Linked DNA regions of Drosophila melanogaster. The protein of the gene in region 1 interacts with the protein of each later gene in a pairwise test. Each region holds a gene or a part of one and is shown in the gene's direction. Other genes may lie near its edges.

Region 1 (5,096 bases):
TGTCGACATCAATAAATGCAAAGTTAGCACAATCCAAACTAATACGAACGCCATCCTGTGGCTTCAGTGGAAATGCGGTGCTGTTATCCGCTGAACTGTTTAAACTGACGCCATATGGAGGGACACTCTGATTGAGATAGATTACAGCATTGACTGTCATTACCAGACAACCCCCAATTGGCTTCTGAATCGGGTAAACCTGCAAGGGAAAAATGACACATTAAACGTTGTGACTCCTAAAAGGTAAGTGGCATTTTCAAACACCCACTTGTAGGCAGTCAAAAGGTAGACTGTTCACGGTCCAAATAATCGGATGCACTCGCTGTTGAATGTTCAACGAAATGGCCACCAAAACGCAAGTATCGGAGCGCACCTTTATTCTTCCCGGACAGGTTCGCACCGGTTCGTAGAGTATAAGCAGCGTTGGTTCGTAGTAGCCGTGCAGGAATTGTATGTCCAGAACATTGTCGATCTTCTCATCAAGATCTCGCAGTGCTATCAGGTACGATGCCATAATAGGCGTCCTGCTGACCATTGCCGTCGGAGCCTTTTTAATTGGCTTCACATCCGCTAGCTCGATCTCGTCCAGGCTGTTGTCCTTGCGAAAGGGCAGTACCACCAGCCGTTTGCCGTAGACCAACATGACGGCACACCTGGAATCGGGATCTACGCGAACTGTGGGCACAAAATAGCGACCCGTCCAACCACCACGTATGTCATCTTCCTCGAAATAGTGAAGTGAGAGAGTTTTCAGCGCAAACGTATCGGGATCGTGCTGCAGTACGGACAATTTCGCGTCCTTGAAACTAATCAACAGCGCATCCCGCATGGCACCCGCCAATGAGACGCACTGCAGCGACATCACATTGCCGTAGAGCGTATATGTGGCTAGGCATTCCAGTCGCATTTTGGGCGCCAGACGCATCTCGCTGGGATTCAGCTTTTGACGCTGGCTCGCCTCCACGTTGGGCGCTATCCGGTACACCTTTAGTACATTGGCGCCCGCCACCACCAGGTTCTCATCCAGATTGTTAAAGAAGCGGCATGCTATCGAAAACTCCACCGCCGTGGCGGAGTGCGTCTGCTTGCACATCGAAAACATTGCGGTGGTTTAATTGGTGTCGCAATTTCTTAAAACATTATTAACAATTTCAGCCAGTTTAACAATTTGCCGGCCCAACACACACAGCAGCTGCGGAACTATCGATTGTGGGTGCAAAGTTATCGCTCATTGGATGTGAAAACTTGTTCGCCGTTTTAGTGGGTGGAATACCATATTGGCTTGATTTTTGTCTTGCTTTTTGTTTTAGCGGTTTTTAAGTATTTCGTTAGTTAATATCTTGCAAAATGTATTTGACCAAATAAAAGCTATATTTTTTTATCTGAACATGTAAAATGATACGTATGTTACGTATTTGCATAAGTTACGAGTCTAAACATTTAGAAATTATTTATAGTGCATTTTGGTCTTAGAGCTTGTATATTTTTATAACAATTATTTTGTATGCACACGTTATACAATTATATTATATATGTACGTAAATGTAACATAACTTAAAATCAAATAACCGCTACGTACGTAACGCTTCATATTTGCCAGCTTATTTCTAGCTACTTCTTGACCTGATCGTTCAATCGATAGTTGGCAGCCCTGGTGCGGGAGCAGTGACTGCGCAAATACATCCGCTCCTATCCGATGTATCGGATGCGACATCAACAACCCCATCGGACTTGGCAGGGCAGCCAGAAATTCGAGCGTTTTGCGTTTAAAACTGGCCACGAAAAAACATTAACTAGTTGGTGTGATTAGTGACTAGTGTTTGCGTTGTAGTAACTTAAACAATTTCATTCAATTAAACGCAGCTTTTCTGCATAGTGAGTGTGAGAGAGAAACGGGCGCTGCGCCCGATACGGGAAAACGCGTGCGCCAGAAAGGGACCGGCATAGTTGGCTAGAAAAGAATCATTTTGTAGCTGCTTTGTTTGTGTGTTTGGCATTCACATTTCCCCCATTCAATATTTAATTTAGTGAGCCATTAACGAGGCGGAAATCGGCATTATGCAAAAGATAGTGCTCTAGTACAGATCTAAATCCGTACCATAAATAGGTAAAATACCCGCAATTAGTTACTTAAATAGGAACAAAAGTCATTTTTCTACTTCTCCGATGTGCTAGTGTGCATTTGTGTGTGTTTGTGTGTATGTGTATGCGTGCGTGAGAAAAAAATATAACCAACTTTGCAGGTCGTTCGTATTTGTTGTTGTTACTGCTGTTACATTGTTGATTTGTTTAAAATTACTGCTGGCAAGTGAGAAAAGTCGTGAGGAAAACAAAAACAATAATTAAAACTAAGGCATAACAAACGGAAAAATCTCCGTATAGCCGCAATTTCATTACATATAAAAAAATAAAACACACGCACACACTTCTAACGAAATATATGCGCACATACATGCACACAGATGACGTACATACATATACAAAGGGCGCAACGTTAAAATTATACAGACACTTTTTGCCTTAAAATGGACAATTCGTTAGTGCAGCCGATCAGGATTAATTTCGTGCACTATAGTATTAACCAAAAACTAGTTTTGCCATCTAATATGGCATCTAAAATCGACTGGGAAGCTTGAAAATGTTAAAAACAAGCAATATTGGCTGAACCCCAACACGGATAAATCAAATAAACAAATTTAAATTTGAAAACTATAAGAAGTTACATTCATTTTTGTTACACATCATTTTGCATTTGTATATGATCATTGTCAAGTTGCCAAGCAATTTAAAGTAAAGAATTAATGCTCTGTTTTTAATTTATATCCAAATAAACCATCACATAACAAAACTATTTCATTGTTAACAAAAAAATAATATTAAATTATCTATTTCTCAACATTTCCAGTGTGTGCGGAAGAAACTTGCTTGACATGGGTGCATGGATCAAAAGTTCGCTGTAAATAGATTAGGCAGAGCGATTAACAATGAAAACCATTACGCCGGATACGACGACGACGACGTCGTCGCAGCACCAACAACTTCTCATTCCACAAGCGGATCAGCATCACCAGCCGATGCTGCAGCAGCAATCCCTGTTGGCCGCTCCACCGCCTACGATGATAATGGAGCATGTGAATCTGGTGGACGACGACGAGAAGGATCCTCTTGCGCTGGAGCAACTGGAAGTGTCACCGTCTACCAAGCACACACACAGTCTCAGGTTAGTTCTAAAACGATTTACCCGAGCGCCACGAGAATCTCTAAATTTCTATACTAATTTTATTCCAGACGCCACCTGCCACGCATTATCGTGAAACCAATACCACCTGAGAAGAAACCGATGGCGCCCAGCGAAGAGGCTGCCGTCAGTACTGCTCCTGCCCCGCCCACGCGTTTAATATGCAGCCGACGCATTCAGCAACAGCAACAGGTCAAAGCGGCAGCAGCAGCGGCGGCGGCAGCAGCGGCGGCAGCAGCAGCAGCAGCGGCCGCAGCACAAGCCCAAGCCACCTCCAGCTATCCATCCGCCATCTCACCCGGCAGCAAGGCGGGCACCTCTCAAGCTTCGACCATGCGGGAGGTCCTGGCCTCCATACCCGGTTTTAGTGTTAAGCCCCGTCGGAGGAGCAATAAGAAGCTGACGACAGCAGCGCAGATTGAGCAAACAAAAGACGGAAAGATCGACCTGGAGACCCCCGACTCCATACTGGCCTCCACCAACTTAAGAGCGCTGTTGAACAAGCAAACGTTCTCGCTTTTGCCACCGCTCTATCAATACAATCTCATACAACTGCTGCCCAGCGTGGATCGCGAGGCCAGCGAACTAGAGCAACCTAGCAGTAGCGCAAGTGGAGGCAGTCCATCGGAGGCTATAAGGCTAAGTGCCTCCTGTCTAAACAACGAGTTTTTTGCCCGAGCCTGCTTGGAGTGGCGGGAACGACTAAGCGAAGGCGAGTTTACACCCGAAAACCAGCTGAAACTTAAAACGGAAGCAGAGCGCGAAAAGAACAAGTTGGATCCCTGGAAGCTGAAACACTTTGAGCCCTTCTGGGGCGAGAAGAATTCTAGGGGGAAGGATAAGGATAAGTTAGAAAGCGATTGCAAGAATCAGAAGCTTTCGGCAAGCATTAAGAGTGAGCCCAAACCACCAGCGACATCGCAACAAAAACCACTGCAACAAGCAACATGTGATAATGAGACTGAATTAAAATTTGATTTGGTAAGTTACCAAATATTCCCCATTATTTATATCCCAGTTATATTATTGAAAAACTTGCAGAGCACAAAGTGCGAAACGACATCAGCTAAAACTACAGTAGCAGTGGCAGTAGCAGATAAATCAAGCACGTTTCCACCCACTGGCAGCCAGAATAATGTGCTTAACGAACAGCAACGCCGTGTCCTCAAACGTCCATCGAGCAGTCCTTCGCAGCGCAAGCAGGCACCCACAACGATAGCGACCATTAATTTGGACGATGATCTCGACGAGCTGCCCAGCACATCAAAGGACAGCAAGCAGCCGAAGATGGACGAAATTGTTCCTAATGCGTCAGGGAATGTTGTCGCAGCTCCAATGGTTGATGTTGTGGATCACTCTGCAGTCGAAATGAAAATCAAGGACGAGCAACAGCATCAGCGACAACATCAGCCACTTATCAACAGTACCTGTGATAAAATTGAGCCATCTGAATGCAGTAAGGAGATGATCGTTGCCATGAAACAAGTGGATTCTAAGGAAGATGTGGACTCCATTGCATCGGCGGCTGCCATGCCAGCAATTGCTGCCGTTACCCCACATACACCAAAGCCGGAAGCGTTAGCACCAAATCCGGATGTGGCTAACCAATTTGTAAGCTACTTACAAAACGTCGAACTAGCAGCTGGTAAGTAAGAGCTATTCAGAGCGAACAATATAGATAGCATTGCATTAGCTATATTAAGAGTACTCCACCCATATAAATGGCTTATTTAAATTGGCATTACTATTATTGCAGAAACCAAAGCGCCTTTGGACAATTCAAACGAGGCAGATATAACGACAGGAACAAATAGCCATGATTTCGTTTTCTCAGATACTATCGATCACGGTATGTTCG
Region 2 (4,961 bases), on another chromosome or scaffold:
GTAAACAATTAAGTAAAATGAACAATTCAGTTTAAAATTATAAATAATATAGAAAAATTATCAAGAAATCCAGTATCGAAAACTCAAACTATATCGAATTAATGTCAATACTGTAGTCTTACCATATTCAGAGGGACCCTGTGGATATCCGTAGCCGCCGGGCCCCACCATTTGCGTGGGATGGTGCTGTATGGTGCCGATGTCGTTGCCATCGATGTCCATGCTGCCCACCAGCGGACCCGCTGAGTATTCGTCCTTCACCAGGCGACTGGGGCCCGACTGCAGACTCAGGCCGGACAGATCGATGCCCGGAGAGACGACGCGCTCGTAGTGGTAGGGATTCACGCACACCGAGTCGCACTTGAGATCGAAGGCGAAGGCGCAGTACTTGACGTGCTTCAGCTCGTTCTTGTGCAGGTCAGGCCAGCGCCAAATCCGGGCGTATATGACGTGCGGAAAACCCTTGCGTCCAGCAACCTTCGATAGAGAATGGTAAAGTGGTAAGTTCATTGCTTATACACATTATCAAATTCGATGCAGAAAGTCTGAGAGACTCAACCTACCTGCAAGCGACCATCGAGGGTGCGCTGTATGGTCACGCACTTGCTGGGATGGGCTCCGTTCGTGGTGATGGCCGTGATCAAGGAGTCCAGTTCGTCGCGCTTCTCCTTGAGCTTTTTGACCAGCGACTCGATGGCTCGCTTGGCAAATCCCTCGCTTTCGCCGCCCTGCCGATGGCACATCAGCGAGTGGACGATGCTCAGACAGGCGTCCGCCGATGTGGGGGCGTTCGAGGGCGGCGGCGGCATTTGCACCATGTCCCGGACAATTACTGCAGATGGTGGGGGTAATTAGCTCTGAGTTTTTTTAGTAGATCAACGGATACTGTACAGCTCAATCCAATTTCATTTTAAATTTCAAAGAGTTTCAAGTTTATCAACAGTAAATAATAATGCTACGGTAAGATTTAGGATTGTCCACAATACTTGGCCACAAATCGATTTTAGAATAACAACTCGAAAAGGAGTTCACTATGACTGCTGCTCCTCTAGAGAACTTCACTTACTGTCCTGCGGGGCTACGGCGCCGTACATGTGGGCGGGCGGACACGCCCCCGAGCCGCCGCCCATGCCAAAGTCCTGGGCGAGCGAGCCCAGAGTGCGAGCATGGGCATCCACGGCGGCGTTGTTGCTGGATCCGGATCCGGAATGGGGATCGTGAGCGGCGGAGAGCGGAGTGGGGATCGTACGGTGGCTGGAGCAGGCGTAATCGAAGCCGGCGGCGGGCAAAAACAAGGCGTAGAATCACTGGCCAAAGAAAAGCCAAACAAAGGCGGCACGCGAATGTGAGCACAAAACAAACGGCGGCTGGATGGCTTTGTGTGAGTGGGCTTGGGGGGTGTTGCACACACGCATACACACACACACGCGCGCGCTGAACTAACTCGACTTGAACTCCCACAAAGTTGGCGTAATTTCCCTGCGAAAACTCTCCTCTCCTTCGTCTTCTCCACCTCCTTCTTTACGCACACTGGCACACGCACTGCACACACACACGCCCAGCGAGAAGTTTCCTGCTCAAATCCTTGGTAGAGACTGGCTTTTACTGTTTTTCGTGGAATTTCATAGTTTGCACTTAATTGGCTGCTTGGGAAACTCGAAAGTACAATTTTCCGCCCGACGAAATCCAGTTTTCCAGCCAATTTGCCTTTTTTTCCTTTTTTATTTTGTTGCGGCTGTGCAGAGTGACCGTTTCGCGATACAACATGGGCGGGCGTTGCCAGATGGGCAAAGCGCGAAATACCTACCTTGGATTTTTACAAACACCTAGTTTGGTCAGTTCTCGAAGATTTGATTTGAGAATAAGTTTATATTTTTTGGAAATAAGAAGCAAGAAAAGCAGATACTGATCAAAACGCAGAGGCATCCGGGTAAGTGCCATGAGATTTGTTACACCGACTTACACTCATTTCGCGGGCTGTTCAGTGCGTAAAACGAACTTTTTGAAAGGCCGAAAATCAATCGCCACGCGTTTTTTCCCATTCGCATGTGTGTGTGTGTGTGACGAAATTGAGGAAAGTTTCTTATCGTTGAGATTGGGGAAAATCGAAGGCTGAACATCTTGTGCAACAAGTTAATTGATGTTTTCGCATTCCCATTGAAAAGTTTCTTTCCATTGCTTTAATTGCTAAAATTCATTCATAAAAAATTGCCGTTGATGAGTCGTTTGTGTGACAGGTTGTTTCTAGAAATATGCATGTGTGTGTAGTGGGGCCTGAAATAGACCACCCCCTTCCCCTCTTCTCTTGAAAATGTTCACTTGGCAACAGTAACGAATTTCCTTTTCGCCGGAAATGCATTTCTCCGGCTTTTGTAAAACAGTTTGCTGCGTAGTTTCCATCTTCAAAATATCTTATCAAAATGCGTAATTTCAACGCTTATCTGAACGGAATTTCGATTTGCGGCGTACATATGTAAATATGTTTATATTTTGGCAATGACATTGATTGTGAAATTATGTGTGGGAAGTTTGCGATTCCCTGCCAAAACAGAAGCTTCCATTTGTAATAGTAATTTGGGAACTCAATTTAACTTCGAGGATTTGTTGCCCTCATATTTTTTAATTCCCTAACTAATTAAATCACTTGTCATAAAATTGTCTACATCCCGCATTCAGAAGCATAAAGTTATTATTTAATCCCTATCAGGCTTACGGTGTTGAAAATTGTTCGACACCAAAAAGAATTATTGCGGGCTTATTTGAGTTCGGTGTTCAAAATTGTTCGACATCAAAAAAGAATTATTGCGGGCTTATTAGGGTTCGATAACATTACAGCGAAATGTTAGTTAACAGAGAGAATCGAATAACATACACATCGATAGTGAGGGACTATCGCTTCCGCTGGCTTAGGGTATTTTATAGTACAAATTTCAGTTCGCACCAAATCTGTGGAACTTGTAGGCCTACTGGTAACACTGGTCGCTCACAATATTCTTCATTCGTAAAAAAACAACAAAGCGGAGAAGTACCGTTTTTGCGAGCGCGAGTGTTTGAATGTGTTTGTTTGCTTAGGAATAGAAAATAGAAATTGAAAAGGACCAAGTGCAAACGTACAAAGCTTTGCTAAAGCAGAACTAAAAAAAATCAGCAGGAGGAAAATGCACAGCTGATGGAGAAAAGTCCCAAGCACCTTCAGCCCAGTGTGTGTGGGAAAAATCGATCCGCAGACGGGAAAAATTGAGGATAAAATGCCAGCCTAATAAACAGAGTTCCAATTGTGATACAAACGCAGTACAAATTAGTTAACAACTAGCTTAAATGGCCAACGACAAGGTTTTATAGCTAACTATCTGACGCAATTGAATAAGCGTAAAGCTGCCAGCCAATTTATTCACTTATTTTCGAGTGCAATAGAAGCAAAAATTCACAACTAAACAAAGTTCATCTCAACATTCCTGCGCAACACAAAACAACAAAATGGCTGTAAAAACGTAAGAAAATGCTAAATTTATTTAAGAGTGGAAAAGTCGATAAAATGCAAAAAGAGAATCAAGGTTTTTTTCTTCATCTATCAGATGATTTTGTTTGTAGGAAAAAAGAAATTATATTAGGCATACATACAAAATTCGTTCATTTACGTGTTTGTTTCGCTTCCATTTGTTTCACAGCTGTTTGTCTGGTGTTTGTGTGTGTAAGCGAGAGAGTGGATTTGGGGTCCGCTATTCGTAGGTCGTTGCTTACAGAGTGAGCGAGAGGGTCGAACGAGGGGTGGGCGAGGAACTATGCTGCTTGCAGTGGTATGTGTGTTTGAGGGGCTGTGCTTTTTATGCAAGCTGTACAACATACATATGTAATGAGACTAATGTACGCCTTTGTTTCCTTGGCACCGCCTTATTCGCCTAGAAAACCCATTCCTATTGCCTTCCCCCATTTGCATATCTGTTTTATTTCCAATTTGCGTCAATTGTTTTACTTCATATTCCCCTTTTCCTTTGTTGTTCTCCCCACAATTTGTGTGTTCCGCTTCCAAAGTTCCCTTGCCATCGTACACACACGCGAGCTGCAAACAAAGACTTTGTATGTGTGTATGTTGTTCCCATTCGGATTTTTACCTCATACACACACTCACACCAGCACAGCAACTTGATTGGTTTGGGAGTGTGCGTGCTCTGGCTTGGAATTGCGTCAGCCAAAAATAAAATATGTGCGACGGATAAAACTACTTGTTTTCGTTTCAAAAACACTTTTGCTCATTTTAGGAAGCAACTTGTTTCTGGAAAACACAAGTAACAACTGCTATTACATTCCGTTTTGTACCCCGTTTCTCCTGATTTCACCTTCAGCGCATTTACTTTGTTTTCTGGGTCATATTTGTTGATTTCAATTTGTTGCGCAGTCGCAAAGTCGCGCAGAATTGCTTAATTTGTTGATTTTCATATTTTCCATAGCCTCCAAAATAATATAAATACAACGCATAAAACGACCCCACGCACGCATACTAATGAAACAGTTGGGTTGGTGTGGGTGTGTGGGTGTTGCTGTACCGTTGTTTTATTTATTCCTCTCCACACTTGTTTACATGTAAAAAGGTCTCTTCTATTCTCTGCCTACCTTCTTTGTGGAATGAATAGAGATGGGAACGGGTGTGAAAAGGGGAGAATTCATCATTAACCCTTAGGTGGGCAATGTCCAACTATTTGGGTCACGTCTACTAAGTAAGTCGCTTTTGGAATAAAGAGATTAACTTACAATTCCCGTTTATATATTCCCCTAAAGCCATTGAACCAAAATGATTAGTTTAAGGCTAAATAACCCGAAATCCAGCTGACATCTATTTGGCTTCCACTTGTGGTTAGGGTGGCGCCTTTTTAGCAGATATCGTCTGCTTTCTACCTGTTTTCTTCGATTTCAGTATGCCATGAAATTCGTGTGTCTGCAAAACGACAGACGGCCCAAAGTGA
Region 3 (4,470 bases), on another chromosome or scaffold:
GGATCCGCGACCATACTGGCATTTCTTACTAATAAAGTTCGCTATTTTGAGAAATTAAACGAATAAAAAAGTTCACTTAAATCCTTTGTTAATCTTTAGCTATCATAGCTACATTATATTTTGCCGTAGCTATGACTAATCCCAAGATAGATAGGTAGATTACAAACACATACGTGATTTGGTTTCTGTACCATTTTAAACTACTTCCTTAAGCTAACTAAACTATATCCTCTGGAAGAAGAGTCCAAGACTTCTTTAAAAAATCGATTTGGTTTTGAAACTAAGTTTCACCAAAAGGAGTTTATTCTATTAATATATATCGATTAGTATATTACAGATAACAACTAATACTGCATTTAACATGACCCTTAATTAGGCGCTCAAATCTAAGCTTATCATAGCTTATCTATTAAGATCACACTTTCAGGAGGTTGCAATATATTTTCATTATTTTATTAAAACATCTTTTTAATAAGAGATGCCAGTGTTGTCGCGGATCCAGTCCAGGTAGCTGGTGACGCGCACCATACCCTTGGGACCGTTGGAGAGGCAGCCGGCGGAGGAGCCGAAGGACACAATGCCCACCTGGCGGTTGCCGTCGTGGATGACCAGTGGGCCACCGGAGTCGCCGCTGCAGGTGCCCTTGTTCTCGGGAGTGGGGATGCAGATTAGGTCGCCGGAGAAGCTGCCGTAGTAGTTCTCGCACACGGAGTTTTCGCCAATCTGGACATCGACGCAGTTCAGGTACTCGGAGACACCGCCCTCATCGGAGGTCTTGCCCCATCCGGAGACCAGAGCCCACCAGCCTTGGTAGTTGTTGTAGCGATCGTCGTACCTGGGGAGCTCCACCTTGTTGACCAGCGACCAGAAGTCTACGTGGGGAGTGCGAATGAGGGAGATGTCTCCAGATCCGTGCTCAATGAAGTCGCTACGTCCCACCCAGTGGGTGTACTGTGCCTGCAGGCGCCAGAGGGCTCCGTAGTAGATGGTCACCGATTCCATGCCATCGGTACAATGCTTGGCGGTCATCACCCAGGTGTTGCCGATAATGGAACCGCCGCACCAGGTGCCTCCACCGTTCTTGCTGAAGCCCAAACCGACAATGTAGGGCACCTTGCCTTCGTAGGCAGGATATCCCATGGTGATCCTACCTTCGATCGAGGCCTTGCCCACGGGCACATCCTTCCAGAAAACCGGCTTCTCGAACGCCGTGGCGGAGGCAATCACCCCCAAAAGTAGGACCGCTAGCACCTTCATGTTCCTTAAGTTCAGCACACTTAATAAACGCAAACAAACACAGTCGCCACATTTATAGCTTCATTTTCAACCGGAAACGAAATAATCCGCTGGGAAAGTAATTTACAACTCTCAGATAACCACGGTTCTTTTGTTTTTGTGTGCGGAGTTAGCCAACTTGACGAAATCTTTTGAATGGAAATTGGCACTTTCGATAAGATTTAAATGTGGACATTATCAAAGGAGGCTTGTCAAATTTGAATTTATTATAACAATAAAATATATTTGCTTTATTATACTAAACGAGAATATACTTTGTTTTATGTTACAAAACAAATGAACACATTTACGTTCCACTTTTGAACTCTTTGATAAATAAACCAATAGCAGCCTTTCTTTTTATCAAAAAGAAAACATTTACACTACTTGAATGCAACGGCTGCTTACAAGCAGTGCTACCACTCTGGCAGTAAGCGAATGCACCAACCCATTAGTCCGTGTCACATTTCCTTTTCGCACAGTTGTTTTTTTTTTAGTGAAAAAAAAGTTTCGGACATAATCATTAGGCAGCATACATTTCATCTGCCAAAGCCCATTAGATTCGGTTTCATGCTATTGAATACGCTTTATTAAATGTGCCACTTATTTTGAATATTCCGCAAAAATAGGTAATCGATAGCTGTTCATTTATCCGAAACTATCGGTTTTGGCTGAACCCAAGTACACTACCTATCGATACAATTGTGACTGGTTGAACCAGCTCTAATCCAAGCTGTTTATTTTACAAAAAGAACACAAAAGTTATAATTCTGTCATTTAATTGTCTGCAAAATAGGACTTTCCAGCATCATTGCATGTAGTTAAATCCAGATTTCTGAAAAACCTTATTTGGCAGCGATATGTTTAGCCAAAAAATAGGAATTTGCGGATAAATTACCCCCCGGAGTGACAAAGATCTGTATTGTCATACAGACGCCTGCAGAAAAAAGGGTTTTACAAGAAGAAAATGCGCTATTTTGCAAAGGTTAGTAAACTTTAGGTAATCTTTGACTTCCAAGATCTCTAACTCGAGTTACTGAGCAGTTCCGACGGCTTTAACTGATATCTTTGAGCTAAGATACAAGGAATAAACCTTTCAAAAAGATAACTAATATGTATGCTTTCCGTTTGTTTTCTGTTAGGAATGATTTCTAGAATTCAACGTCAAATATAATGGATAACATAGTCTACGACTTTGCCAAGATCACGTTTCAAGCAAAAGACAACAGGTAGGCCTTTAGAATAATTTATATCTGAAACTAGCCCAAAATTCATACTTCAGGTCACCCACTACTAACTCGAATCTGTCGTGGCAACTAAATCAGATGGCCTTGTCGGACATGGAGGAGATGCAGGACACATCCGAGCCCATAGCTCCACCCGAATCCGATGACAATGTCAGCAGTGAATCGCATGACTCCGACGATGTAGACTCGCAATTGAGTCGCTGCGAGGACAACGATGACGACAGCGATTGCATCAGTGGATCCTCCAGACGCAGTTCCACTTTTGGAGCTCGAGCGGGCGTGGCTCGTCGCAGAATGCCCGCCAGGGTGTCCAAGGACAACTTTAACCGGATCTGCAGCGCCATCATGAAACCCATCAAAAAGAAGCAACGCAAAGAACTGAACACAAATGCCCAAACACTTAAAAGCATCGAAAAGATCTACACCAGCAGGCGCATGAAAAAGTTCACGCCCACCAATCTGGAGACAATCTTCGAGGAACCCAGCGATGAGAATGCCGCCGATGCAGAGGACGACAGCGAAGAGTGCTCCATCAGCAGCCAAGTGAAAGTAGTTAAGGTGTGGGGTCGCAAACTCCGCCGGGCAATATCCTTCAGCGATGGCCTGAACAAGAACAAAATCCTGTCGAAGAGACGCCGCCAGAAGGTGAAGAAGACCTTTGGCAAGCGTTTCGCACTCAAGAAAATCTCCATGACCGAGTTCCACGATCGTCTGAATAAGAGCTTCGACAGTGCCATGCTGGAGGGGGATGATGCAGAGGCGGGAGGATCGGCGGAGGCCGTCAACATCCCCAAGACATCCATGACCATGGAAGACATACAGCTGCCGACAATGAGCAGCCAGCACCAGTTCCTCATGCAACCGGCGGGCTTTGAGTAGAGAGACTGAATGATCCATCAAATACGCCCCACATTGATTTGCATTGCATTAAAACTAGCTAATAGTGCCCAAAAATAAATGTACTGATTACCAATTATGAAGTTAGGATTTACGTTCGTTTGGTTAACTTCTCACCTTAGTCTTAAGCCCCATAAAAGTTATAAATGAGTGTAAATAGCATGTAGAAGAAAAGAAAATAAGAGCTATACCTAGAGCTAAACTTATCCAGCCATAGAATACGATTCTGTGCTTAGCCATTAAGATAATAAATAAAAGTTGAAAATACATATCCATCCACTGTCGTTCGGAAAATCTTGTGAAATCCCTGGATAGATATATTTCATTAACGCTTTTTAAACACTGTGGAACTCATGAATGAATTTCCTTTTAAGTAATGAAAATGTTTTATGTGTTAGATTTTATAATTTATTGGACAACAAATAAAATAGTTTTTTGAGATTTCTTTATAATTTAATTCTAGACGTTTCCGTGGTATTAATTGAATGACCAGTTATCAGTTCCCCAAATTCCAGCCGAAACCGTGGTGCCAATTTCGTGATATAATAAGCTATAAAGACCGATTTGGGGCGGTAAAGAGTGCGCTAACGAGGAACACTAAAATGAACTAATAAATAAACCCAATTCGAATGCGAAACGGAAGCGAAACGCACCGAGGTGCCCAAAATCCTGGACGAATTGTGCGAGCCGGGTGGCGTTCAAGCTCAATTATTTAACGGCCGCCGCGTGATTAGCAAGTGCAATAAAATGCAGTAACAAAAACGCGCCCATTATTAATGAGTGCAACATGCAACGGGAGCGATTATGCAGCAAATATATACGTATAGATATAGACATAGATATAGACGCACCACCGCACGATATCGAACTGCACCGCCGCCTAACAAGGGGTGGTGCTGTGGTGCAGTGGCGTTGTGTGTTGTGGTGCATTTGCTGTTGCATTTGCATAATCATGCTGTTGTGCCTCACTGTTGTTGCAGCCTCATTACATTCGGCTTCATTTCGATCCAATCCCGATCTGATTTACCTCAATTCGATTCGATTTGAACAT

What was found.
Region 2: the proteins of Asx (region 1) and CycG interact in a two-hybrid assay, tested with the Drosophila melanogaster proteins (one study listed by BioGRID).
Region 3: the proteins of Asx (region 1) and tant interact in binary tests that used the Drosophila melanogaster proteins (3 or more experiments, as listed by UniProt).

The regions. Positions count from the first base shown.
Region 1 is NT_033778.4:14,502,263-14,507,358, forward strand, and holds the start of Asx (additional sex combs), read left to right. Parts: upstream 1-1,964; 5' UTR 1,965-2,107; exon of another isoform or gene 2,108-2,308; intron 2,309-2,822; exon of another isoform or gene 2,823-2,905; 5' UTR 2,906-2,984; coding exon 2,985-3,220; intron 3,221-3,288; coding exon 3,289-4,219; intron 4,220-4,279; coding exon 4,280-4,883; intron 4,884-4,994; coding exon 4,995-5,087; intron 5,088-5,096. Other genes in the region: Cpsf160 (cleavage and polyadenylation specificity factor 160), read right to left, coding at 1-199, 269-1,102. UniProt on the Drosophila melanogaster protein: Non-catalytic component of the polycomb repressive deubiquitinase (PR-DUB) complex, a complex that specifically mediates deubiquitination of histone H2A monoubiquitinated at 'Lys-119' (H2AK118ub1).
Region 2 is NT_033777.3:31,607,850-31,612,810, reverse strand, and holds the start of CycG (cyclin G), read left to right. Parts: upstream 1-1,832; 5' UTR 1,833-1,930; intron 1,931-2,995; exon of another isoform or gene 2,996-3,491; intron 3,492-4,961. Other genes in the region: Med (medea), read right to left, coding at 123-477, 564-832, 1,067-1,130. UniProt on the Drosophila melanogaster protein: Cyclin with roles in multiple processes including transcription, meiotic recombination repair, cell cycle regulation, and promotion of normal growth and metabolism.
Region 3 is NT_037436.4:6,053,160-6,057,629, forward strand, and holds tant (tantalus), read left to right. Parts: upstream 1-1,976; 5' UTR 1,977-2,260; intron 2,261-2,417; 5' UTR 2,418-2,448; coding exon 2,449-2,504; intron 2,505-2,557; coding exon 2,558-3,401; 3' UTR 3,402-3,843; downstream 3,844-4,470. Other genes in the region: Jon65Aii (jonah 65Aii), read left to right, coding at 1-32; Jon65Ai (jonah 65Ai), read right to left, coding at 469-1,257. UniProt on the Drosophila melanogaster protein: Potential cofactor involved in sensory organ development. Despite its interaction with the Polycomb group protein Asx, it does not regulate the expression of homeotic genes.